6 linked regions of the Mus musculus genome follow. The protein of the gene in region 3 interacts with the protein of the main gene of each other region in a biochemical or structural test. Links are inferred from orthologs where the notes say so. Each region holds a gene or a part of one and is shown on either strand. Other genes may lie near its edges.

Region 1 (3,500 bases), on a different chromosome or scaffold from region 3:
TCTCCTTTTGCTAACAATTTATAGATAACCAGCTGCCATCTTTAGGGAGCTTCTACCCAGAGGCCAGAAATTTATTCTTTAGATTAAGAAAACAATATAAATATATCATTTTTATAGATTAAAAAAAAAACAAAAACAAATGTATGCTATTTCTCTTTAGGTTCTAGCCATAAATATTCTTGGTCGATTCTTATTGAACAATGACAAAAATATTAGGTAAGTCAACTGAAAATTTTTTCATATATTTTATATTATAAAAATTAGTATTTTACAGAGTGGCTTTGCTCAAGATTTTATATATATATATATATATATATATATATATATGTATATTATGTATTGTGTGATCTAGAATTTGAAGTAAGAAATTTTAGTTTTAGTTTAGTCTTAAAATTGCTGTTTTGTAAATAATTTGAGGATTTTCTTTGTGGCTTAATGTTTAATTTATAAGTTAAGGGCAAACATCATATAAAGGGCCAAATGGTAAACATTTTAGGCTTTCTGAACCACAGGGTCTTTGTAGCAGTTACTTAATTACATTGCTTTGGTGGAGGTGGTAGTGGTGACAGTTTTGAAACAGGATTTTTCCATGTAGTCCTGGTTGTTCTGGAACTCAATTTGCAGACTAGGCTGGCCTTGAACTTAGAGATCCACCTGCCTCTGCCTCCTAAGTGTTGGTATTAAAGGCAGGCACCACCATGCCCAGCTTTAAATTCAAGTTCTTATAAATAGATAGGAGCAGTTTTTGGTATTGGTATTAAAAAAGAGCAGAAAACATTTAAATGATGAAATTAAAGTAATTTCCTTTTGTACATTGTGGGTAAGGCAGTGTGAAAAAGCATATATACTGTATTTTTTTCTTGGGAAGATTTAGTCAGTTACTGTTAGAAGTTTGAATAGGGCCTGGGGTGGGGGTGGTGGGTGGCGGTGGCGCACGCCTTTAATCCCAGCTCTTGGGAGGCAGAGGCAGGCGGATTTCTGAGTTCGAGGCCAGCCTGGTCTACAGAGTGAGTTCCAGGACAGCCAGGGCTATACAGAGAAACCCTGTCTCGAAAAACCAAAAACAAAAGCAAAACCCCCAAAACAAGAAGTTTGAATGGATGCTGTGAAAGCAAGGCTAGTTCCAAAGACTCCCCACTTGTCCCAACTGTCGTTTCTGCTCCTGTTGCCATAATGATGCTACTTCCTAGTCACTAGCTCTGTGCTCACCTTGACATACTTTCAGATGTGTGCATCTCCTCATCTGTTGGACAGCTTTGTTATTATTCAGACAGAGGGAAAACTTCCTTGAGTTTTACATTTTAGCTTATTTATTATGAAACATTGTTCTGTGCAGATATGTTGCTCTGACATCTCTGTTGAAGACTGTGCAGACAGATCATAACGCTGTACAGAGGCATAGAAGCACAATTGTGGACTGTCTGAAAGATCTGGATGTCTCCATAAAAAGGTAAGAAAGAGAGTCTCTCTCCAGCCTGGTAAGTGGAACAGATTTTTGATAAGGCTGTGTCTGTCCTCTACCAATTTGATAGTTTGTTGAAATTTTGAGAGCCAAGCTTTTAGGTATTTAGTCCCTGTGTTCAGAAAGGAGTTCCAGTTATAGAGACCCGTGGGAAATACTGAATTGTGCACTGAGAGTGCTCTTGGTTCTTAGGTAAAATAATTGGCGCAGTGTACTGGGCCAGTGTTTCCTTAGCAGAGGTGCTGTGTTACGTGTGCTGGAGGATGAAGTAAGGAGTGATCCATCGGCTAAGTGTTTTCCCACTGTGCTGACACTCACATTGCTGACAGTGCACGTTTTCACAGCACCTCATGATCCCAGAGGCAAGTGTGAGAAAATCTCCATGGAGACATGACTGTAGGCAGTTGTCACTCTCAAATGTCATAAATCTCTCTGTTGAGTGGAATCTGGCAGTTCTTCTCATAGAAGTGTGGAATTTATAGTTTGCTTTAGTGAACGTTTACTGTGTTCAAATTCAAGACAAAGGAGATTTAAAGTGATCTTTGAAGTCATTTAGTCAACAAACATTTATGTACACAGAACAAATGCTAAGTGCTTGAACAATCTACAGATAAGACCTAGAATTAGTAATACCAGCTTTTTTTGTTTTGGTTTTGTTTTTGTATTTTGAGACACAGTTTCTCTGTGTATTAGCCCTGGCTGTCCTGTAACTCTCTTTTTGTAGGCCAGACTGACCTTAAACTCAGAGATTCGCCTGGCTTTGCCTCCCAATTACTAGGATTAAAGGTGTGCACTACCATGACTGCTTTAGTAATACCAGCTCTTATGATATTCCCCTCTGGATTACCCCTCTACCACCCCCTCTCCTATGCCCCCTTTGCCTCTATGAGGGCGCTCCTCCACCCATTCACCCACTCCCACCTCACCCCTCAGCACCCCCTGTGCTGGGGCCTCATGCCTCCCTCCCTTCTCATTGATGTCAGATAAGGCTATCATCTGCTACATATGTATCTGGAGTCCTGGCTCCCTCCATGTATAATCTTTGGTTGGTGGTTTAGTCCCTGTGAACTCTGAGTGGTCCAGTTAGTTGATATTAATACTAGCTTTTTTTTTTAATTACGTATTTTCCTCAATTACATTTCCAATGCTATCCCAAAAGTCCTCCCCCCCCCCCCAACTCCCCTACCCACCCATTCCCATATTTTGGCCCTGGCGTTCCCCTGTACTGGGGCATATAAAGTTTGCCTGTCCAATGGGCATCTCTTTGCAGTGATGGCCGACTAGGCCATCTTTTGATACATATGCAGCTAGAGTCAAGAGCTCCGGGGTACTGGTTAGTTCATAATGTGGCACCTACAGGGTTGCAGATCTCTTTAGCTCCTTGGATACGTTCTCTAGCTCCTCCATTGGGGGCCCTGTGGTCCATCTAATAGTTGACTGTGAGCATCCACTTCTGTGTTTGCTAGGCCCTGGCCTAGTCTCACAAGAGACAGCTATATCAGGGTCCTTTCAGCAAACACTTGCTAGTGTATGCAATGGTGTCAAAAATATGGAACGCTTCACGAATTTGTGTGTCATCCCTACGCAGGGGCCATGCTAATCTTCTCTGTATCGTTCCAATTTTTAGTATATGTGCTGCGAGCACTAATACTACTAGCTTTTAAAAGAGCTTTGGAAAAGGGTTTTATGGCACCTTCCTTCTTAGTTAGTTCTCACAGTAAGTCATTAAGAAGCAAGTAAGTTCTGTGCCTGATTAATAGACTCATTAAATTATAGTCATCAAATGATCAGGTGACTATAACCCTTGAAACTTTGACCCTTAAACTTTAACCCTTGAAAAGGGCAATTCTAGAAATAGAAGTCAGACCTTCTTTCTCTTATTTTCGTTGGGCTAGGGTATTTGACAGAAGATGCAACAATAAGAGCTGATCCTCAAGCCAGAGCTGTTTCTCATTGTGACTCCACACCTAACATTTTCCCTACCTTTTCATTACACTGTTGCCTCTGATGTAAAATGTAGGTAGAGGGCCACCCAGTT
Region 2 (4,292 bases), on a different chromosome or scaffold from region 3:
AAAGTCAAAATCCTTAAGATGGAATTGGGCTTGCTAGTAGAGGTTATCCTGATCTATGTAGCAAGACTCTGTATCTCCCAACTTCCACCCCCAAAATGTTCTAGGCAAATAATTTTTCAGTGTTTAAGGACGGTAATGAGATCATTTGTAGGAACAATACTTCTAGCTAGTAGGCAAGGGCCCAAGAATGAATATATGACACATCTAATATTGGGCACTTGTAATATAGAAAAAGCTTACTCAGAGTATCTTTTACTGACTCTAATTCTATTTTAAATATGCACACATGCAGTGACTTTCACACAAATATAACTAAGTCAATCAAGAGAAGACTGTTAAAAAAAAAAAGATTAAAAAAAAGGGGGGAGGGGCTGGAGAGATGGCTCAGCGGTTAAGAGCACTAACTGCTCTTCCAGAGGTCCTGAGTTCAAATCCCAGCAACAGTGTACTCATATAAATATAATAAATAAATCTAAAAAAAAAGAGAGAAGACTGTACATGCTAGATACAAATTTTAGCAAAATTTACTTCTTCATATACATAATTGAATATAAATAGTAATTTAGAATTTATAAAGAGTATTGTATCAAAAAATGCAGCTAGTAGGTGTGATATTATTTGAAAGTACTGAACTACTGAATCTACCTTCTACCTACCTGCTTTCATGGCTCCCTGCTCCTCTGGTTCTATACAAGGTGGTTTTCTCTGTGCCCCTTACTATGCCAGGTGCCTCTTGCTGAAGAGCCACTCCACTGTTGCTCCCTTGGCTACATTCTGTTTCCTTCAATACCTGAAATGCTTATTTTCTGAATTTCTTTGGGTGTTTTCTGAAATGACATTTTGCCCCCTAATGAGGACTTCCATAACCAAAATATTTTAAACCGTATCAACCCCATTTATTTCTTTCATCCACAATTCCTTTCTGGTATAGCAGATATTGTTTTCTCACACTCTCGCATACACTACCATGAACAACACTAGGTAGAGATCCTGTCTGTGCTGCTCACTGCACTCCTGGTTCCTAGAACAATACTTGGTAGACAGCAGACATTCAGCAATTATCTGTCAAACATATCAATGAATCAATAATATCAAAGAGAAGAAACTGTAGGATATTCCTTAGATTGGCATTAAATTTAATGCCTAATTAATAATGAAAACTTTTAGAACAAGCTCAATATATAGGAGATATAATTACTATTTATAGAAGAGAATGTAAACATTAGTGAAGAAAACATATGTGAAGAAAATGAAATAAAACGTGAAACATGTAAAGAAAATGAAGTAAAAATATCTGATATAAATTTGAAAATAAGTGAAAGTATTTCTTTTTTTTATGATGGAACATCAAGATAATCATCTAGCATTGATGGAACAAGAAATTATAAGTACAGAAGACAAGAGCAGAACTAATGGTGGGAAGAGTTTAAAAGTGAAGACAAGAAGAAGCAAACAGGGCTGGAGAGCTGGCTCAGCAGTTAAGAGCACTGACTGTTCTTCCGAAGGTCCTGAGTTCAAATCTCAGCAACCACATGGTGGCTCACAACCATCTGTAATGACATCTGACCCCCTCTACTAGTGTGTCTGAAGACAGCTACAGTGTGCTTACATATAAATAATAAATATTCAGAAAAAAATAGAAGAAGCAGCAAACAAGCCAGTTAGCCCTGAATGGGAGTGGGGAGGAGAGGCGCTTCTTTTGACTTTTCTTTTGTTGGAGAGTGCTGGAAATAAACCCCTACCTCACTGAAAATGATTTAATTCTTGGTAACTGAGGATCTGTAGACGTCTCAGGACTTATGTTCTCATTAGAAGTGTTCTTACTTGGCCAGACCTGAGAGTGGAGGCTTCTGGGAAACCTCACTTACTCAGGAGCTGAGGAAGGACGATCACAAGTTCAAAGCCTACCTAAGGGCTACAGAGTAAGTTCAAGGACAGCCTAGATAACTTAGTGAGATCCCTTCTCAAGGAAGTAAAAAGAAGGCAGGGATGTAGCCCAGTGGTAGTGGGCTTGCCAAGCACACTCAAGGCCCATAGTGAGCTCCTAGGAGTCCCACCAACCCACACACAAACTGTTCTCACTTATACTTGTTCCAGATTATGTAGCACACAGCCTTATTTAAATAACTTAAACACAAAAAGAAAAATCACTAACTGCACAATGTATTTTTTTCTTATTTAATTCCATCACTGAAGCAGAATACGATTTTGGAAGGCTCCTTCACTAGCGTGAGTCATAGGATTACATATTCTATGGGCTATCAGTTTTTTGTTTGGTTTGCTTTTATGTTTTTGTTTATTTCCCCACAGAGAACCACAAAGATATGTGTTATAGTCTCCCCTCCCCCAGCCTGAAACCTGCTTGCTCAGGGGTGGAGCTTCCCGCTCAATCTTTCTGCCACGCCTACTGCTGGAACCTGCCGCTTTGCTGTTCTGAAGGCATCACGTGATCACCCTGCTACTGGATTATTTGGCGGGAATTGGGCCCCTCCCCCTTCCTTTATAACTGAGTGCCGAAATAGTAAAAATTGAACCTTGAGCAGAGAGCTTTGTCTGGGTTCCTTCCTTATCTCCCGAAGCCCAGCCCCTCTTCTCTTCCAGGTTTCCAAAATGCCTTTCCAGGCTAGAACCCAGGTTGTGATCTACTGGCCAGACACAACAATGTGTGTTTTACCTTAACTGGGAAGCTACACTTTCCAGTGCGGACTCCTTCTTCATCTGTCTGCCACTGATGTGGACGGCTGGCCTCTGGGACATAAACGTCTTTCTTTCTCCTGAAGCTTTGCCGTAGTTTGTTCATGTTAACTTTTACAACCTGAAGACACAGTGAAGAAATACCAAAGTTACTTCTTACACAAACTTCAGATGACCATTTTAGTACAAAACCCACCCCAAACCCTGAGGGCCCACACGAGGGTTATAGCTTAGTATGTTAGCATACTTCCTCTCGGAGTGACAGTGAGTCTAAAACTGCTCTCAGTCCGCTTTTTAAAGACAACTACAGTCCCCTCCAATGACAACTGCCCCAACAAGGGCGGCGTTTAACTTCTCACCTGCTTGATACCTCTCAAATGCCGGGATTACAGCCATGCCCTACTGTGCCTCAGTTTGGTGCTAAGGACTGAACTAATATTTTGTGCCTGCCAGGCACACATTTTGCCAACTGAGTTAGTTACATGCCCAACTCCCCATTCTTTCTTCCTGTGGCCTTATCTACCAATGTTACCTCTTTAATATCTAATTCACTCCATGCCCTTTGTCCCATGATTCATTCATTCTCAGACTCTTCCCCACCCCCTTCATTTGTAGCTATCTTTATTACTACTGGTAGACAAAAGAAAGATTCAAGTCTTCCTGATTTGATGGATATTAGGTAAGAGCCAGGAGAGCTCATGGTGCTTGGGTGAACAGTCACTCTTTTTCTAGTCTGTAGGGCAAGCGATTAAAACTACAGCCCCGCACATCCCAGGCAGGCAAGCACTCTGTGTCTTGGAGCCTTTCCTGTCACTTTTCTCTCTTCCTCTCTGCTCACTCCTCATGGAACCTGGTGGGGATGGAACCCAAAGGCAAAGCCACCTCCCCCAAATCCCTGATTTTTCTTTGTGGTACCTTTGCTTAATTACTGTCTCAAACTAAAACATGTCTTTGTTTACATTACCTACCTATTCCCAGTGAGGTAAAGTCTGCAAGGACAGGATACTGTCCTGTTCCCTGTTTATGCCTGCCTTCCTGGAACTGATCAGTAGAGGAGTTGCTCACATATACTTACTGAATGAATGCTGTTCAACCAACACTCACGATTAATAAACCATGCATGCCTGAGGTTTGGGTCACAATCTAGCTTATGTAGTAACTGGGGCACCCTGTAAGCTTTACAATGAGACAGACCTGAGTGAATGCTGTGCTGCCAGAGATGGTGATGTGACTGATGCAAGTAAACGGAAAGTTCTAATCCTTAGTTTATATGTCTGTCAGATATGGTAGTAACTGTTAATTCTCAGGGTCACTGTGAGGGTCAGAAATAATGTTACCTAAAGCAGCTAATGTTTCAAAAGGGAACTCTTGTTGCTGGGACTGGCCTTGAACTCTTGATCCTCTTTTCTAAGCCTCTCAGGTAGACAGGCCTGTATGTGGCCAGTGTTCAAATCAACTATTTTGAGACTTTTTTGTTTAACTTATTGCAAAAGGCCATTACTTAGACTGCTTCAAATAAAGGCCCATTTCATTCTAATCTGGTCTGACTACTGTTTTCTAAAACATCAATCTGACTGTACAACTACTCTACTTTAAAA
Region 3 (3,500 bases):
CCTTTCTTATAGAACCTAGACCGCTAGTCCTGGGATTGTACCACCCTCCATCTCAATCAATAATTAATAAGATGCCATATAGCTGTATATTATGGAGGTGTTTTCTTAATTAAGGTTCCCGCCTCTCAGATGGCTTTATCATGTGTCAAGTTGACACAATAAAACTAGTCAGTACACTAGGCTAGCCTCAAACTCAGAGATCTATTCTGTCTCAGCCTCTGGAGGTGCTGGGATTAAAGGTGTGTGCCACCAACTTCTGTATTAGTCAGGGTTCTCTAGAGTCACAGAACTTATGAGTAGTCATATAGTAAGGGAATTTGTTGATAGCTTAGTCTGTAGTCTAACTCCCAACAATGCTCAGCAGCAGCTGTGAATGGAAGCCCAAGGATCTAGCATTGCTCAGTCCCAGAAGGCAAAAGGCTTTTTAAAAGGGGCTAGGGCGCTGAAAATACATGTAAGAGTAGCTGAGGTGAAGCAGCATAACCCCTTGAAAGGTAACTCTCTGAGAGAGATGAAGATGACTGAAACCAGCACTGCAGGGAAGGATTTGCTGGCAGACCTGACACAGAAGAGAAAGGGAAGTGGAAGGAAAAAAGTGGAAGAAGATGCCATGGTTTTCACTAGAAGACCGAGGTTACAGCAGATTCAGGAAATAATAAGAGCTCTGTTTTGACACATAGCAGTCAGTTAGACATCCAAGGACCTATCTGAGTAAGCAGACTAGAGATCCAAATCCAGAAGAGGTCACTTGAAGACTGCATGTAAAATCAAGTGCTTTAGTCCTCCAATACAAAATACTTAATAAACAAGACTGTTTTCCCTTAAAGTAGACTTAAAATCTTACCTTTCCATGCCCTCAAAGAGATAAATGTGTTTCTTGTGTTTCAGGATCTTCAAGATGAAGTTCAAAGGGAGAGTATTAATCTACAAAAACTGCAGGCCCAGAAGCAGCAGGTGCAGGAGCTCCTGGGTGAACTGGATGAGCAGAAAGCCCAGCTGGAGGAGCAGCTCCAGGAAGTCAGGAAAAAGTGTGCTGAGGAGGCCCAGCTGGTAAAGCCTGGCTGCTTACTGACCGACTTGCTACCTCCATCTTGTTCCTGGTTTAGAAAGAAAACATTGCCTGCTTGTTAGTGGCACTGTAGCCAGCAGCTGCTTTATGAAGGCGTTGGAAGGATGCTTATGAAGAGTTATAGTTCTCTGTAGTAGGAATTAGAAGGGTGATATTTTTCCAGCTCTTGATTACACAGATGTTACCTGTGTTACACAGATGCCTCTGAGTTGCTTTTGGCCCCTTCCCTGTTAACTTTCACTGCCAAAAGAATACCTCAAAAGTTCCAGTCCACTAAACTAGACATCTCGTGTCTAATTCCATCTCCCATTCATCTCCATTTATAGATTTCTTCCCTGAAAGCAGAAATAACTAGTCAAGAATCTCAGATCTCCAGTTATGAGGAAGAACTGTTGAAAGCTAGAGAAGAACTAAGTCGCCTACAACAAGAAACAGCACAATTGGAAGAAAGTGTGGAGTCAGGGAAGGCTCAGCTGGAACCTCTTCAGCAGCACCTACAAGAGTCACAACAGGAAATCAGCTCAGTAAGTGGAAACCAGCAGAATGCCCAGAGGGGCCTTGTGTGTCCTTGTTGTAACTTTCTAACACCTGCCCCTTCTTCCTCTGCCTAGTTAGTATCTCTGGTTGTTTAATACTTAAAGTTGGTGTCTAATGGTCATTTACATAATAGATTAGAGTAGGGGCTTTGTAGTTAAAGCTGTTCAGGTTTAAATGCTGGCTCTGTCATTTCATAGGCGAATCACTTTTGAGTATCAGCTTTTTTATCTTTAAAGTTGAAGATTTAACAACAAACCTACTTATTAGGGCTATTATAAGGATTAAATGAGGCAAAACATGAGGTAAAAAAGTTAGAGTCATGGGGAAAAGAAGCTTCAATTGAGAAAATGCTTCTGTGAGATGGGACAAGCCTGCAGGGCATTTTTTTCTTTTCTTTTTTGAGACAGGGTCTTGTCTCTAACAGTCTTGGCTATCCTGGAACTCACTTTGTAGACCAAGCTGGTCTTGAACTCACAGAAATCTACCCTCCCCTGCCTCCCAAGTGCTGAGATTAAAGGCATATCACTATGTCCAGCTTGAAAGACATTTTCTTAATTAGTGATTGATGGGGAGGGCTCAGCCTATTGTGGCTTGTGCCATCCCTGGGCTGATGGTCCTGGGTTGTAAAAAAAAAAAAAGCAGGCTGAGCAAGCCATGAGGAGCCACCCAGTAAGCAGCACTCCTCCATGGCCTCTGCATCAGTTCCTGCCTCCAGGTTCCTGCCCTGTTTGAGTTCCTGTCCTGAATTCCATTAATGATGAACAATGCTGTGGAAGTGTAAGCCAAATGATCCTTCTCCTCCCCAAGTTGCTTTGGTCATGAGGTTTCATCACAGCAGTAATAACTCTAAGACACTGAACAACTTACTGGGTTTTTTTGGGATTCCAATTTTTAGATCAATTTTTCTTAGTGAAATCATTTAGTTTTCTTGTATCTGTTTATTATTATATATTGATTCTTCCATTTGTGTCTTACGGTTGAATTCATTTGACTAGTTTAGGTCAAAACAGCTTTATCCTTTGTTTATTGGACTTTGTGTGACTTATTTTTTTAGAAGAAGTAGTTCTCAGAGACCTGACAGAAATTTCATAAGGCTTACAAAAACAAATGCATGCATGCTGACATTGCAGGAGGACTCACTGGGAGAGATTATTGAAGCCTTTAAGTCATGCTTCATTCCTAGAGGAATCTGCTAATAGGAAGCAAACTCATCCCTGAGTTAGTCTAGGGGCATAGATATTTGTGATATATTTATTTCTAGGATTAAATTGTTTTGTATTTCTACTTTGTATTGGCAGATGCAAATGAGATTGGAAATGAAAGATCTGGAAACTGATAATAACCAATCAAATTGGAGCAGTAGCCCACAAAGCGTTCTTGTTAATGGTGCTACAGATTACTGTAGCCTCAGCACCAGCAGCAGTGAAACAGCCAACTTCAACGAACATGCTGAAGGCCAAAACAACCTAGAGTCTGAACCCACACACCAGGAGTCCTCAGTGAGTTTTTGTTTCATAGTGTTTATTATTAAGTTTCCCCCTCGACTCCCCCCACAGATTGATGAAGATCAAAGTTAGTGTGTACAGACTTATGTGCAGAGACCAGGGGGCGTCCTCAAAGTGTCACTCCTTAGATGCTGTTCACTTGTTTTTAAAAAAATAGGGCCTCGGAGATCTAGAGCTTACCAATTAGACTAGGGTGACTGGCCGGAAGCCCCAGGTGTCTGTCTGTCTACATCACCCCTGCTCTGGGTTTACAAGCACACACCACCACTTTTGGCTTTTTGCATGGATGCTGGGGATCTGAACTCAGTCCACACTTGAGCAGCAGGCTCTTTATCAAATAGGCTCTCTCCAGCCCCAGAGCAGTGTTTTATCAGCATTGTATATAATAG
Region 4 (4,185 bases), on a different chromosome or scaffold from region 3:
GAAGCTGGCTGGGAAAAACCATTCAATCAACAGTGCAGGAAGGAAATTGAGAAAGAAAGAAAGAAAGAAAGAAAGAAAGAAAGAAAGAAAGAAAGAAAGAAAGAAAGAAAGAAAGAAAGGAAGGAAGGAAGGAAGGAAGGAAGGAAGGAAGGAAGGAAGGAAGGAAGGAAGAAAGAAAGAAAGAAAGAAAGAGAGAAGCAAACAACCCTGGGACAGGAGTCATGGCAAAAGAGGCCAATGATGGGATTTAAAAAAATGGTAGGGAGACAGAGGAGATAGCCTGAGGCAGTGGGAGACTGGGGAGTGGGGGTGCCCAGGGGACTAGGTGTCCAGAGGGTAGGGAGGGAAGCTCAAGGGAGCAGAGAGATAAGAAATGTAGGAGTCCCCACTAATGGATACCAACTGTGCCACGAGGCACATATCATCTAACAATGAATGTAGACAATGGCCTCATGGAAGTTTAATAACTTGGTCAAGGTCATATCATAAATGCAAAAGCAGACTCAACAATCAAACCCATATTACCTGTATAAACTCATTTTTTTGTGGGTTGGGGGGAGGGGGTGACACAACATCTCTCTACATGGCCTTGACTGTCCTGGAACTTGAAGAGCTAAATCCATGTGTCCCTCCCCTCCCAAGTACGGAGTTAAAGGTGTGTGCCATTAAACTCATGCTTTTAAATTAACCTAAATAAACTAACCTGTGCTGTGACCAGCTGTCAGAAAGCATCAAGGGCAGAAATCAAGCAAATGAGGGGAATATTAACAAGCACTTCCACAACCTTTACATCCTTCTAGGCACCCATTAAGTCCTTTGCGCTATCAACTCAATCCTTACAAATCCATGACTCACAGCCACTTTACACAGGAGGGAACAAGGGCACATTAGCACCTTGCCCAGGGACACACACCTCACAACTGGAGCAGCCTGGGTCCAGAGTAGACTCCGATCACCAGTCTGTGCCTCTCCAACAAGCCATGGAGGGAGATTTACTGAGCCCTACCATGATCCAACCTGAAGGAAGACATAGGAGAATAGGAAAGGCTGCTCTTTACCTTGAATTCAGGCCAGAAAATGGAGCACCTGCAAACAGGCATAACTAGGCAAAGAAAAAAAAAAAAAAAAAGCAGCTGGGTCCCAAGTCAGGCCTGGACAGACACCAGAAGACAAACATATGACAAACATAAGGAGACTGGGGGAGGGGAGAGAAAGGGAGGGAGAAAGGGAGAGAAAGAGGGAGGGGGGGAGAGAGAGAAGAGAAGAGAAGAGAAGAGAAGAGAAGAGAAGAGAAGAGAAGAGAAGAGACACACCAAAACTCGGGCAAAAAGAAAGCAATACAGCGAGGCAGGAGGACAGGGAGGACAGAAAGACAGGGACCCTGAAACAAAACACACACATGACACCCAGGGCTGGGGGGGGGTGGGAAGAGATATAACTTAAAAGAACACAAAATTTGCACTCAAATCCCGGCCACATAAGCAACCAGCAAAACAACCCTGTGACTCAGTTCACCTAACTGTGTAACAAAGGGAGGGGTGCTGCCCGGCAAGCTTGCTGATTAAATAAGACGGGTACATAAAGAACTTGGTTCTGTGCCCCACAGATAGTAGGCGCTCGGTACTCCTGGCTGCTATTATTATCAGAAAAAACATTTCCAAAAGGGTGGCATCTAAAGACGCACTATCCTAACACCAACTACCTACTTCAAGCATGTTCAAAAAAAACATACTAAATCTCACAAATGCTGCTGAAAATGGGGCCATTTTCCACAGTTAATTTAGAATTTCTTATTAAACAGTACAAACAATATAGTGAGTCCCCAAGGGGGACTCAAAAACCTGGTATCAAATACTAAGCGAGACAAAATCTCTAGTAACTAGAGCTACTAATAATCACATGCTTAACTCCAGGCCAGACACTGTAAGGCACTTTACCAGGACCACTCCAATGCGCAGAGACCCTGTGGTGCAGGAATTATGAATGCTTCCGTTTAGAAGACTAGGAAAACTGAAGACCAAGGCAAGCAGCGGGGGCTTTGGAATCCACAGCCAGAGCTCTTGTCAGAACACCAGAGACTCAGAAACCTGGGAAGCACATCCTAAGCAAAAGCAGTGGGTTCCTAGAAAGGAATTTTGGGCCTGGGGACGACAGCAATGACCCGGAGAGAAATAATGCACCAAGAGGGAGACCAGTCTGGGGAAATGAAGACACAGAAACCCAGAAAATACAAGCATTGCATGCATCCTGACAGGAACACGGAGCAATCCAAGACACAAACAGCACTCGGATCTCCAAGCCCTTTTGTACAAACACAGAAACACAGAAGCAGAGCAACACAGACAGCAGGGCCACGCGAGACGGGGACACTGACAATCCCAAAAAAAGACACACACCGGCAGGCAAACCCGACCCGGGCACAGCGGTACAAAAGCAGCCACAAGCCATCAGCGGCTGGAACACCGGCTCCGAGGCTGGCTGGACCCGCGCGCGCCACGGCCCAGGCCGGAACACCGGACTTGCCGCGACGGAGGCCAGCATTGCGCCCCTCGCTCACCTCGGCCCGCTTATACCGGGCTTCCAGGGGTCATGACGGTCAGCCCCCTGCCCCCGCTCGGCCTCGGTGTCGCGGGGCGCGCGCCGAGCTGCGGGAAGCAGAAGTGCGCACGTGCGCACGCACAGACGCACGGAGGGCCGCACAGCGACGGCCCCGCCGCCCCGGCGCCCGGGAGGGGCGCAGAGAGCCGGGCGGGGGAGGGGAGCCGCCGAGCGGACGGGAAGCAACCGAAGGTGGCAGCGGACCGGAAGCGGAAATGAACTCACGTGCCCCGCCCTCTGCACTTCGCCCGGCAGCCTCCACTTCCGCGACCAAACCCACCCCGGCACCATTTCCGGCGCACGGGACTGCGCGTCCTTATGCCCTTGCGTCACTTCCGCATCTACGCAGCAGTGGAGACGCGTAAAGGTCCAAGCCTTGAAGCCTCCACTGTGGCTACCCTCGCGGGACCCTCAGGCCTGCCTCCTTCCCTGGGTGCCACCCTCCACACCCTCGGCCGAAAGAGACGGGCGGACACACTGGACACAGATGAGGATCCATAAAGTAAAATACAACAAAATGTTTAATGAGCAAATTCGTATTAGCAAATATGAAACTGCCACAGAGAGGGGGAGCGGGACAGAGACCACGGGTTGAGTCAGGAAGACTAAGGAGAAGAACCAACTACTTAAGAAACCAGGGTGGAGAACAGGAAGGACCAGAAGCCAAAGGACGGGAGCTGTGGTCCTGCAAAGGGAGAGGGCAGGGCACTGAGGGCCAGACAACAAAATTCAAAATAGTTTGGCCATAAAATATAAACACGCTATGTTCCTACCATGGGGGAAGAGAGGAGGAAAGGGGTGTAAGGGATAAGAGGCTGTTTGGGAAGGGGCTGTGGAGGTCCTACCCGCCCTGCTGTGCACACAGTCCCCATCCCAGCCCGTTCCCTCTGTGTCTGTGTGGGTGCATGTGTCTGTGTGGGCCTGTGTGCACTTGCCCAGTCCCCTTCCTGCCCTAGCCCCCCACCCCCCACCCCCCTTAATTGCTGCCATTCCAGTTGCTGCCGGCTGTCATTCGGCTGTCACTCCTCTGCCCATCTTCTTCAAGAGGGGGGAAAGGAGGAGGGGACAGGTGGGGGGAAAGTCCCCAGCCAGCCCTGCCCCCACCCTCCCCCAGCCACCTCTACCAGAAGTCCCGACGGTGGTAAGAATCAGGGTCACAGTATTTTGTGACCACCACTCTGTTGGCGAACTTGCGACCGGTTAGACCCTGCATGGCTTTCTGGCAGTCAAACACAGAGGTGAACTCCACGAAGATCTGTAGGAACAAGAGGCATATCTGTGAACAAGGTTGGCTCCTAGCATCTACTCAGCATTCATTTAAAGTACAGAATCAGCACAGGAAATGAGAGAACACCTCACCACACTGCACAGAGGACTTCAGTTCAGTATGAGGGTGTTTACCCAAACGTTCTCCAGTACCCAAGAACAAGGCACAGAAGCGAGACATCACAGAAATGAAGAAAACCAGGCAGGCCTGAGTCACTTAAGTACACGGGGCAGTGGCCAGAGGCAAGACCCCAGAGGAGAGAAGGGGTCACTTCTGCATCATGCACCCTACAGTGTTCCCCAAGCCACAACTGTCATGTT
Region 5 (4,132 bases), about 6.6 Mb from region 3:
TAATACTAAGTGAGGGTGTTATAAATGATCAGCCCTATTGTTAGTTTCTGACCTGATCTTCAATAAAGAGATTTTCATAGCCCCGGCTTTGCTATTCTTCCTTAGTTTAAAGACCTTTCTCTAGCCTTTTCATCATCTGCTCCCTACAGTGATAGGCCTTCCTTACTCGATTCAATTTATTTCTTTTTGCTTTGTTTTAGCCTGGTTAAACCCAGGATCACAGGACACCAGGCCTGGGAGTCCCTCCCTTTGAAGGACTCCTAGGACTTTTGATAGCACTCAGGTGACAGACCCTCAGCTCCACCAGACCTTGTGCCTGAACCTTTCCCCATTCTAGCAAGTTGCCAAGGCCCAGGCTCCGCCCATTCCTCCAGCGCAACCTGGACCGATTGCCTTCCTCTCTGGATTTCCCTTGGGGTGAACGACTGGGCTCCTAGGCGACTGAAGACTGCAGGAGGAGCGTCTTGCAAAACCTGCCATGTAGCAGCGGCTTCAGTTGGCAGCTGTAGCCGAGGCTGCAAGCGAGGCTCCCCACCTGGGGCAGGCGTCTGCCCAGCTCGGCTGGAGGACGCGGTGACGGAGGGCCCCCGCAGCCCCGGGGTCGCGGCTGCGGAGCGGAGTGCGTGGGAGGAGGCGACTCGCGCACGCCTGAGGCGGCCAACGCTTAGACTCTTGCCTTCAATCCCCCTCTCCCGCCTCTCGCCCCAGAAATGAGCTGGAGCATCGCCTGTTTGATTCCAGAGCCCGAATCGGGTGGGTTCTTTTGTTTCTTTGTTTTAATGACAGTTGCCAGCCCTTGGGCATGTCATGCGCAATTAATTTCCTGCTTCCTTTCAAGGCAGCTGGGATGAATTTTTTTTCCTGCATCATCCTTTGGGGGATGGTTGTTTATGATGTGACGTCAGCGAATTGATTTTTCTCTCGTGAATGAGAGGAAGAGACACACAAGGAGAGACAGAGAGACCTAGACAGAGAGACAGGGCGCGGGGGGTGTGGGGGCCAGAGAGACCTAAAGAGAGCGCGAGCCAGCCACAGATGACAGATGTGCACAGAGGCCAAGCGCTGACATTTGAAATTCCTTCAGGTCAAAGTGAGGTTGGAATGGGAGTGTAAACGTGTGTTGCTAAGATCTGGAATTACTAAGAAGTGTTTTCTTAAAAAAATAAGTAAAAGAGAGAAAAACGAAAAAAAAAAAAAAATCCCTGGGATCAGCCTCCTGGGCTTCTTTCTTGCTGGCATCCCCTGTCAGGGTGGCAGTTCAGATCATCGGGCGCCCCAGAGCCGCAATAGGCTTGCAAGGACCACGAGGAGGGGCGGGGGAAGTGCGTCACCAGGTGGGGAAGGGGCTGTGTGTTTGGAGAGGAGCGGGAGGCAGTGGGGGTAGCGAGCAATGGGGACGGGAAATGGGTTCCGTGCGCTCTCCGGGGGTATTGTGTCAGGAGATGCAGGCTGGCTACCATGTGACGCGGTCCAGAGCTGAAGGGATTGGCCGAGGCAGCGCAGGCGGTGCAGCTCGCCGGCTTGCTGTTCCTCTCTGCCTTTCTCTCACAGCATCTTCCTGGGAGACTGTAGGTGAAGCAGCACTAGCTGCATCCATGGCCGGTCTTTCGGGTTAACACTTGTCTCCTTTGGCTTGGCAGCAAGCAGAGCAGACCTCAGCGGCAGCTTTGTGAGGACTTAGCTGGGACCTGGAAGCGTATCCTCCTGTGTTTTTTCTGACTTCTTGGAAAATAAGGAATGCAATTCTGCCACCATGATGGAAGGTAGGATTCCCTCTGCTGTGGTTGGCTGGCTCCAGGCAAGATTTGGGTAGACCAGTATGGAAGAATGCATGCAGCCCGTGGTGTCTGTGTCTAGAACCTGGCTGCCAGGATTTTTGCAAGCAGATACTGCAGCTTGCTTGCAACCGGGCCCAGGCTTAGACTAATGGAATCAAACCACAGGGTTTCTGTCTAGCTCAGAATCTCCACAGCTCCCAGCCTCTTTGAAAAGAGAAAAGCCTAAGTGTTTGCAGAGAGCTGAGGCAGCCAAGAATAAGGTCTCAGAACAAACAAGTTGGGGAAGAAGATAAGGGGTTTCTGTGGAAGGTTAAGCACGCTGGTTAAATCTTTGCAATGGAAAGTATTTTCCGAAATTGATATTAGACAGAAGAGGTCATCGAGAGAGTTATCTATGCTGGCATTTTCAGTGAACTGCTTACATATCTTATAAGATATTCTGATCTTTGAGGTTTGCATTATAGTATTGGAGTGAGGGGTGCAACAAATTTGGTTCATAAACTGGAGTTTTATGAGGGCTGTCATTGCAGCAGAATGAACGATCTAAGAAAAAGACCTGGGCCTCTTTGCTCCTTCATCAGGTTCAGACCAGTTCGTAGAGGAAATGGCTCTTAGTTTAGCATCAAGTGATTAGTTGCTGATTATCTTACTGCATTTAATACTAAGTGTAGGGAGGACCTTCCCCTGGGAGATGCTATTTAAACTACATTTTATTCTACCAGCTTGCCCTTTCCAGTCTAAGATAGTGACAGCCAACATCACCTCAGAAAAAGCAACAAATTGGTCAGAGAAGAAGCAGACAGCTCTATGTTGCCTTTGATTATCTGTTTTCACATTGCAGGATGGGGTAAAACTCCTGGCCTTTCCTAAGATGACAGGCAGAAATTTTGGACCCAGGCTAGATTTTATAATGCAGAACCTAGTGCATAATGGGTCTCAGATCAGCCACAGAAATGTCAGAGGGGCCACCTAAAGCCAAGGTCTGTCCTACCAGTTGCCAATGGTCAATGGACCTTAGCAATTTACCAAACTGGAATAAAAGGGAGATGGTTTCAACAAAACCAGTGAAGCTCCCCTTGTCTCTCCGCCACCCTCCTTTCCCCCTTCCCACCCCCCCCCCCCCGTCATCATGTCAAATGTCATTAGTGTGACTCCAGGGAGAGAAGAATTCTGGGGTAGAAGCTCATAGATTCAGGGAAATAGCCTTAAATGGAGGCAGCGCATCATTCCGTTTAGAGCCTGGTCTTGTGTTCAGAGAGCTAAGTGAGATTGTTAAGATTCTATGGTTAAATCAATTTTAGTTAATTCCAAATGAATGTAATCTTTGACTAGCAAGGCAAGATAAACAGAAAAAGTGTAACTTACATACTTTTTAATTCAAAGCCCACAAGACTTATCCTCATCAGGAAAAAAAAAAAGATAACTTGTCTATAGAAGGGTACTATTTTTATAGCTAAATTTGACAAAGGACGTGTTGAAATGCATCTGCATACATTCTGATTCAGTTCTAATCTTCCATGGGAAATTTGAGGACCGTTTCTTTCACTTCTGGGCTTGAAACTATCCCATGAGTTCTTTGGAGGTTGGTAGCATTTCCTGATGATCACTAGTGGTTCTCCTGGTAATCAGGTCTGTTGTGCCATCCGGAACATCAGCTTGAAGGCCTAAGATAAGCTTATCTGAGCTGCAGAAACTGAAACGGGAACTCTAACAAAGACTGGTGTTGAGATGAAGTAGCACTGTGGTTAGCTTGCCCAATTTATCTAATGGAGGATGTTATCTTCTCACTGGTGGGATCAGAGATGACAGGATGGGTTCTGCGGCCTCTAATGAATCTCCACAGGAGAAATTAGACAGGTGTGCCCCCTGCTTTCGAATTCCACGTGAAACGAATAAACATTTTCTATTTGTAATTCCTATTTAAAAGGTCTCCTATTAATTGTTCAGTGACCTTGGAAAAACAGGTAGGACCCTTAATCAGAAATCTATTTCCCAGTCAGTGGCTTTCCAACTAAATTGCCAGTCTTTTTCACAACGCCTATGTCTATTTCTGATACTGCATCCCAGAATTCCTGCTCTAAATTTGTCTTACTCCGAAGATGTGTTACAGCAGTTATGTCCATTGAACCACCCCCAGAGAATACCAGGGTATTGCACATGCCACAATAACCTTGGAAAGATGAGAACTCACCCAAGGTGCCAGAAATGCTGTCCTAGCAGGTCTCAGGTGAAATGCCATGTGTGTCTTGTGAGATTACACTGCCAAGCATCTGCATAGTCTGTTCTCAGCCAGAGCCTATGTGACACATACACATGGTCACACATGCATGTGCAGTCATGCACATAAACACAGT
Region 6 (4,292 bases), on a different chromosome or scaffold from region 3:
TCCCATTTCCTGTGTCCTCATCACGGAGATACGACTGAGTCATGTCGAGAATGAGGGCTGCTATGGGGGTGCACACCCCTGAAAGGGCCTGGGAAGTCTTGAGTTCTAGACCAGCACCTGCCTAGAACCAGTCAATGACAGGTGACAGTGATCACAGGTCAAAACCTGTTCCATCCGACTCTGATGGCTTTGCTTCAGCCCCTGGAACCCACCCTACTCCAGCTCTGGACACAGCAATGGCATGCATGCACACATCCACACACATATGGGGAGGAGAGAGAGGGAGGAAGGAAGGGAGGGAGGGAGGGAGGGAGGGAGAGAGAGAGAGAGAGAGAGATGCTTTTCTTACCATTCTCAAATCCCAGAACCCAAAGGTGACTCGAGGGCTCTTGGGCCAACAAAAGGACATGTGAAAAATGTGAACAGCATGGAGAATGGAGAGCGGGCTATCTTACCAATTGTGGCAGATGGTCACCAGTCAGCTGGGTGTGGGGCCTATCTAAATGTTTAATCTTTATTGTTTGAATTGATGCATAAATTGATTAATTGATTCATTGGTAGTGTGCACATGCCACAGGTTAGAGGATACTTTTCAGGACTCTCTCAAAAAATCCAGGCTTTGCTACAAGCATCTTTGCCCACTGAGCCATCTCACCGGCCCTGAAGCTAGTATTTAGCTATGTATGGTTGCCATCAGAACCCGGCATCATTTGGGGCAGAGCTGCAGTAGATGGTTCAAGTAAGAAGTGGGGCAGCCTCAGTCTGGGATGGACCTGGATTTGATTCCCACCACAGGAAAATGCCCAAACTGAGGTGTCTGGGGTCCAAGGCTGCAGGGGCATGTACTGGAGATGAAGGGCACTTAGCTTTCTGGTTGTGCCCAGGCCAGTGGTCCCACTTCCTTGGAGGTGCTTCTGGGGCAGGGAGAGAGATGGCTCAGTAGTCCTGAGGATCATCATGCTGCCATGTGACCCTGAACAAGAAACGGAGCCCAGGCCGGGGAGTTAAGTCTCTCGAAGTTGTCATATGGGAGTGGAGTGGACATGTGGCTCTTGCTTAATGCTGGGGCAGCCTGGCTTCATCACCAGCACACAGCCTGAATAAATAAATGGCATGTCACATGAATGGATAGACCAGAGTTGCTATATGACCTCCAAAGCAACTCCTAGCCATGTTCCTTGATTCCTTTGTTTGTAAAATGAGGCTCAATATTAAATGTCACCTAATTCACAGCCTCGGAGGGGTTCTCCAAAGAGCCATGTATGCAGTAGGTACTTAATAAAAGCTATCCCCTCTTTCCCTCCCAGTCTCCCGAGAGACTTGACAGGTGCAGAGATCAAGGAGCTTCTCCTGTCACTTTAAAATATGCAAATAGCCTGCGGATGAATTTCCAGGCTCAGCCAACCAGTGCAGGGTTTATGAAGCACCGCGGGGCGGAGCTCCTCCTGACCACACCCATGGCGGGGCCAGCAGCGCGCTCCGCAGCGCGCGGGGAGGGCGGGGCGCGGGTCTGGAGCGCGCAGGTAGCGCCGCGAGAGGCGGTGAGTGTCCCCGGCGCGGGGCTCCGGTGCGGGGTGCGGGGTGCAGGACGCGGGGGCGGGGTGCGGGGCGGGGACGCAGCCTCCATCCTGACCCGGCCCGAGCGCAGGTGCCGTCTGCAGAAGGCGGGGCGCCACTCTATGGCATCTCTCAATCCTGGGCTGGGAGGCTGAGACCCCCCCCAGGACCCCCAATCCCTCTTCCGGGTCTCTAGCCTGGCCCTAAGCTGGGGGCCGCCTCCCTCGCTGCCCCTCTTCCTCGCCTGGGAACGAGGGTCTCCTCCTTTCCTTTGCACCCGCTCTAGGGTTGGTAGGCTGGTGGGGGTTCTGTAGGGCGAGTGTGGTGGAATTGCGGGGTATCTGGAGTATGGAGCGCGGGATCCCCTCCCGGGGGAACGGGGCCTGGAGAGGCCTGGAGCCTGCACCAGGGACTCCCGCGCCCTGTTAGGGGGGCAGCCGGCATCTGCTCCAAGGGACAGAATTAGTCTAGGTGAATGAGGATGGGGTGCAGAGAAGGTCGGGGATGGCCGCCCCTCCACTTGCCCTCAGCGTCGCAGGACCTGCTTCATGGTGACCTTGGGCAGGTGACAGCACCTCCCTGATCCTTAGTCTCCTCCTCAGAATATAGAGGTTGAGGAAGCCAGACTATCTGTCTCAAATTCCCAACACCTGTGCCCCATTTTCTCCAGATGGGGACCACAATCTTTAGTCAAATGTTAGGGCACTCTGGTTTTGGCACTTTAAAAGGGGTTGAGCCTGGTGTGGTCATTACAATCCTCTGGTGGCTGAGGCTGGAAGATCTGCAGCTTGAGGCCAGCCTGGGCTACATTCACAGACTCTGCCTCATTAAAAAAGCATAAACAAAACAAACCATGATTTTGATTGATGGATACAGTCTAGCCTGGGGCGGAGCAGCGAGACCTAAGGCCAGCAGAGGACAGTTTCTATCTGACCATAAGATGGACGGGCCTCCAATCAAGACCCAGACTTTGTCACTGTGGTCCCACCCATGTGGCTGCCCAGGTCACACCCTGACCCACATACCATCACCTACAATAGGGTTCCTAGGCTGGTTCCTGGGCGGGGTCCCAAGTGGAAGGTCAGGTCTTAGTCCCTGCCTCTTGCAGGATAGTAGGGTGAGTCCCAGGCAGGAAGCCTGACACCCCCAAATTTGTGTGCCCAGACTGGACTTAAACTGAGCCTTCTGTGAAGTGGACTGAAAGTCTGTAGGAAGATCAGAGGTGGTTGTGGGAGTGACAGCGCGCCGTAAACACCCACTCCTATGATAGTAATTATGATATTGCATTCATTAAATGGGGTCACAGCCAAGGAGGCAGTGAGATGTCTTTGAAGGGTGTGACCAGTGTCACTAGCACCCCAAGGACTTGGGTACACAGTGGTGCTCAAAGTATGTGTGACAAATGAAATGACTCAGTGGAAGGCTTGCACAGTGGCCTCAGTTTCCCTGTAGATTTCTGGCTGGTGTGGGAGGGGAGGCAGTGAGGGTCACACTAGGGATCAATGGCTGTGGGCACAGCCAGCCTGTATCCAACCCCCAGAGTGCAGCTCTGGTCTAGTCTTGCCTGGCTCAGTTCCCTGGTGCTGTTCACCCACCTAAGCCTCAGGTTTTGGGGACTCGGTGTCAGGAGATGGGGTGCTTGCTCTGTGCCTCTGAGCAGTGTCTGTCCCTGGACCTTATTCTAGTATTGTAGAGCCCAGAAAGCCCCAGGTTACATTAGGTAAACTGTCTTAGGCTAAAACATTTTCAGAGGCCTCTATTGGTGTTTTAACTTCTTTCCAAATCACACGGTTTAAAAACACAAAACGAAACCCCAAGAACAAGGGGCTGAGAGACGCCTTGTAGTACTTAATATTTACACCACACCATCACCCTAGCACCCAGAGGAGGAGACAGGAGGATCAAAAATGTGAGGCCATCCTCTGCTACATAGTGAATTTTGAGGCCAGCCTCAGCTACTTGAGACCATTTCTAAAAACAAACTTTAATCTGTTGATCCTAAAGTAATTGTAAGAATATTTGAGTTTCCCTTTCTGAGGGTGAGGCTTCACCTGTCTTCAAGCCTCGGTTTCCACTCATGGGCATACTGACCTAGCGCAGGCCAAGGTAGACACTTGTGGCTGTCTGTCTCTCTGGTAATGATCATGTCGCCTCCAGTCTGCTCCCTCACCTCCCCCATTTGTGTGGCTGCCCTGTGACTATGGGGAGGTCCCAGGGATGCTGGGCGGGGAGGTGACGGTTGGGTGGCAGGCAGGGCGGGCCAGGCTTCCTGTCCTCCCCCAGACACAGAGGCCTCCAGTTAGTGCTGGCGGAAGTGTCAGGGGTCATAGCCTCCCGGTGCCTACCCCATCCTTCAGGGGCCCCAACTCTCAGTGCCCATCGGTGAGTTTGACCCCAATCTTTGTCTCCTCAGAGCAGGAAGTTATCCCACAGCCGTGGCTCCGGGTCTGGGGCCAACGGTCGGTCTGTCACTTCCTGGCCAGGTGGCAGCCTCTGGGCCTATCCTTGGCCCTACTCTTCAGGCGGGAGGCCCTGATCTGGGTGCAGGTTGTGGCCCATCAAGGGCTGCTGGGTAGAGCCAGATGGGTGGTCATGGCCCTGATAGCTGGTATCTAGCCAGGTGGGGTAGGGAACAGCATGAAGTATGCCCCCTAAGAGTGGCTTTTATGTTAGGGTGGCGGGAAGCAGGGTGCTGTCTAACATGAGCTCTGGGGACATTGATGGCTTCCGGGAGA

Evidence for each region.
Region 1: the proteins of Eps15 (region 3) and Ap1g1 form a complex in vitro, tested with the Homo sapiens proteins (2 studies listed by BioGRID). The link is inferred for Mus musculus from reciprocal best matches to the Homo sapiens genes EPS15 and AP1G1.
Region 2: the proteins of Eps15 (region 3) and Numb form a complex in vitro, tested with the Homo sapiens proteins (2 studies listed by BioGRID and IntAct, with this or other methods). The link is inferred for Mus musculus from reciprocal best matches to the Homo sapiens genes EPS15 and NUMB.
Region 4: the proteins of Eps15 (region 3) and Epn1 form a complex in vitro, tested with the Homo sapiens proteins (4 studies listed by BioGRID and IntAct, with this or other methods). The link is inferred for Mus musculus from reciprocal best matches to the Homo sapiens genes EPS15 and EPN1.
Region 5: the proteins of Eps15 (region 3) and Sgip1 form a complex in vitro, tested with the Homo sapiens proteins (2 studies listed by BioGRID, with this or other methods). The link is inferred for Mus musculus from reciprocal best matches to the Homo sapiens genes EPS15 and SGIP1.
Region 6: the proteins of Eps15 (region 3) and Fcho1 form a complex in vitro, tested with the Homo sapiens proteins (2 studies listed by BioGRID). The link is inferred for Mus musculus from reciprocal best matches to the Homo sapiens genes EPS15 and FCHO1.

What each region holds. Positions count from the first base shown.
Region 1 is NC_000074.6:109,837,583-109,841,082, forward strand, and holds part of Ap1g1 (AP-1 complex subunit gamma-1), read left to right. Parts: intron 1-160; coding exon 161-216; intron 217-1,336; coding exon 1,337-1,450; intron 1,451-1,729; exon of another isoform or gene 1,730-1,793; intron 1,794-3,005; exon of another isoform or gene 3,006-3,107; intron 3,108-3,500. UniProt on the Homo sapiens protein: Subunit of clathrin-associated adaptor protein complex 1 that plays a role in protein sorting in the late-Golgi/trans-Golgi network (TGN) and/or endosomes.
Region 2 is NC_000078.6:83,839,544-83,843,835, forward strand, and holds the start of Numb (protein numb homolog), read right to left. Parts: upstream 2,801-4,292; coding exon 2,675-2,800; intron 2,381-2,674; exon of another isoform or gene 2,311-2,380; intron 1-2,310. UniProt on the Homo sapiens protein: Regulates clathrin-mediated receptor endocytosis. Plays a role in the process of neurogenesis.
Region 3 is NC_000070.6:109,360,275-109,363,774, forward strand, and holds part of Eps15 (epidermal growth factor receptor substrate 15), read left to right. Parts: intron 1-888; coding exon 889-1,050; intron 1,051-1,395; coding exon 1,396-1,593; intron 1,594-2,904; coding exon 2,905-3,105; intron 3,106-3,500. UniProt on the Homo sapiens protein: Involved in cell growth regulation. May be involved in the regulation of mitogenic signals and control of cell proliferation. Involved in the internalization of ligand-inducible receptors of the receptor tyrosine kinase (RTK) type, in particular EGFR.
Region 4 is NC_000073.6:5,078,850-5,083,034, reverse strand, and holds the start of Epn1 (epsin-1), read right to left. Parts: upstream 2,801-4,185; 5' UTR 2,558-2,800; exon of another isoform or gene 2,397-2,557; intron 1,103-2,396; exon of another isoform or gene 1,059-1,102; intron 1,018-1,058; 5' UTR 914-1,017; intron 1-913. Other genes in the region: U2af2 (splicing factor U2AF 65 kDa subunit), read right to left, coding at 3,719-3,853. UniProt on the Homo sapiens protein: Binds to membranes enriched in phosphatidylinositol 4,5-bisphosphate (PtdIns(4,5)P2). Modifies membrane curvature and facilitates the formation of clathrin-coated invaginations. Regulates receptor-mediated endocytosis.
Region 5 is NC_000070.6:102,758,803-102,762,934, forward strand, and holds the start of Sgip1 (SH3-containing GRB2-like protein 3-interacting protein 1), read left to right. Parts: upstream 1-1,332; 5' UTR 1,333-1,753; coding exon 1,754-1,763; intron 1,764-4,132.
Region 6 is NC_000074.6:71,722,882-71,727,173, reverse strand, and holds the start of Fcho1 (F-BAR domain only protein 1), read left to right. Parts: upstream 1-1,492; 5' UTR 1,493-1,541; intron 1,542-3,829; exon of another isoform or gene 3,830-3,939; intron 3,940-4,292. UniProt on the Homo sapiens protein: Functions in an early step of clathrin-mediated endocytosis. Has both a membrane binding/bending activity and the ability to recruit proteins essential to the formation of functional clathrin-coated pits.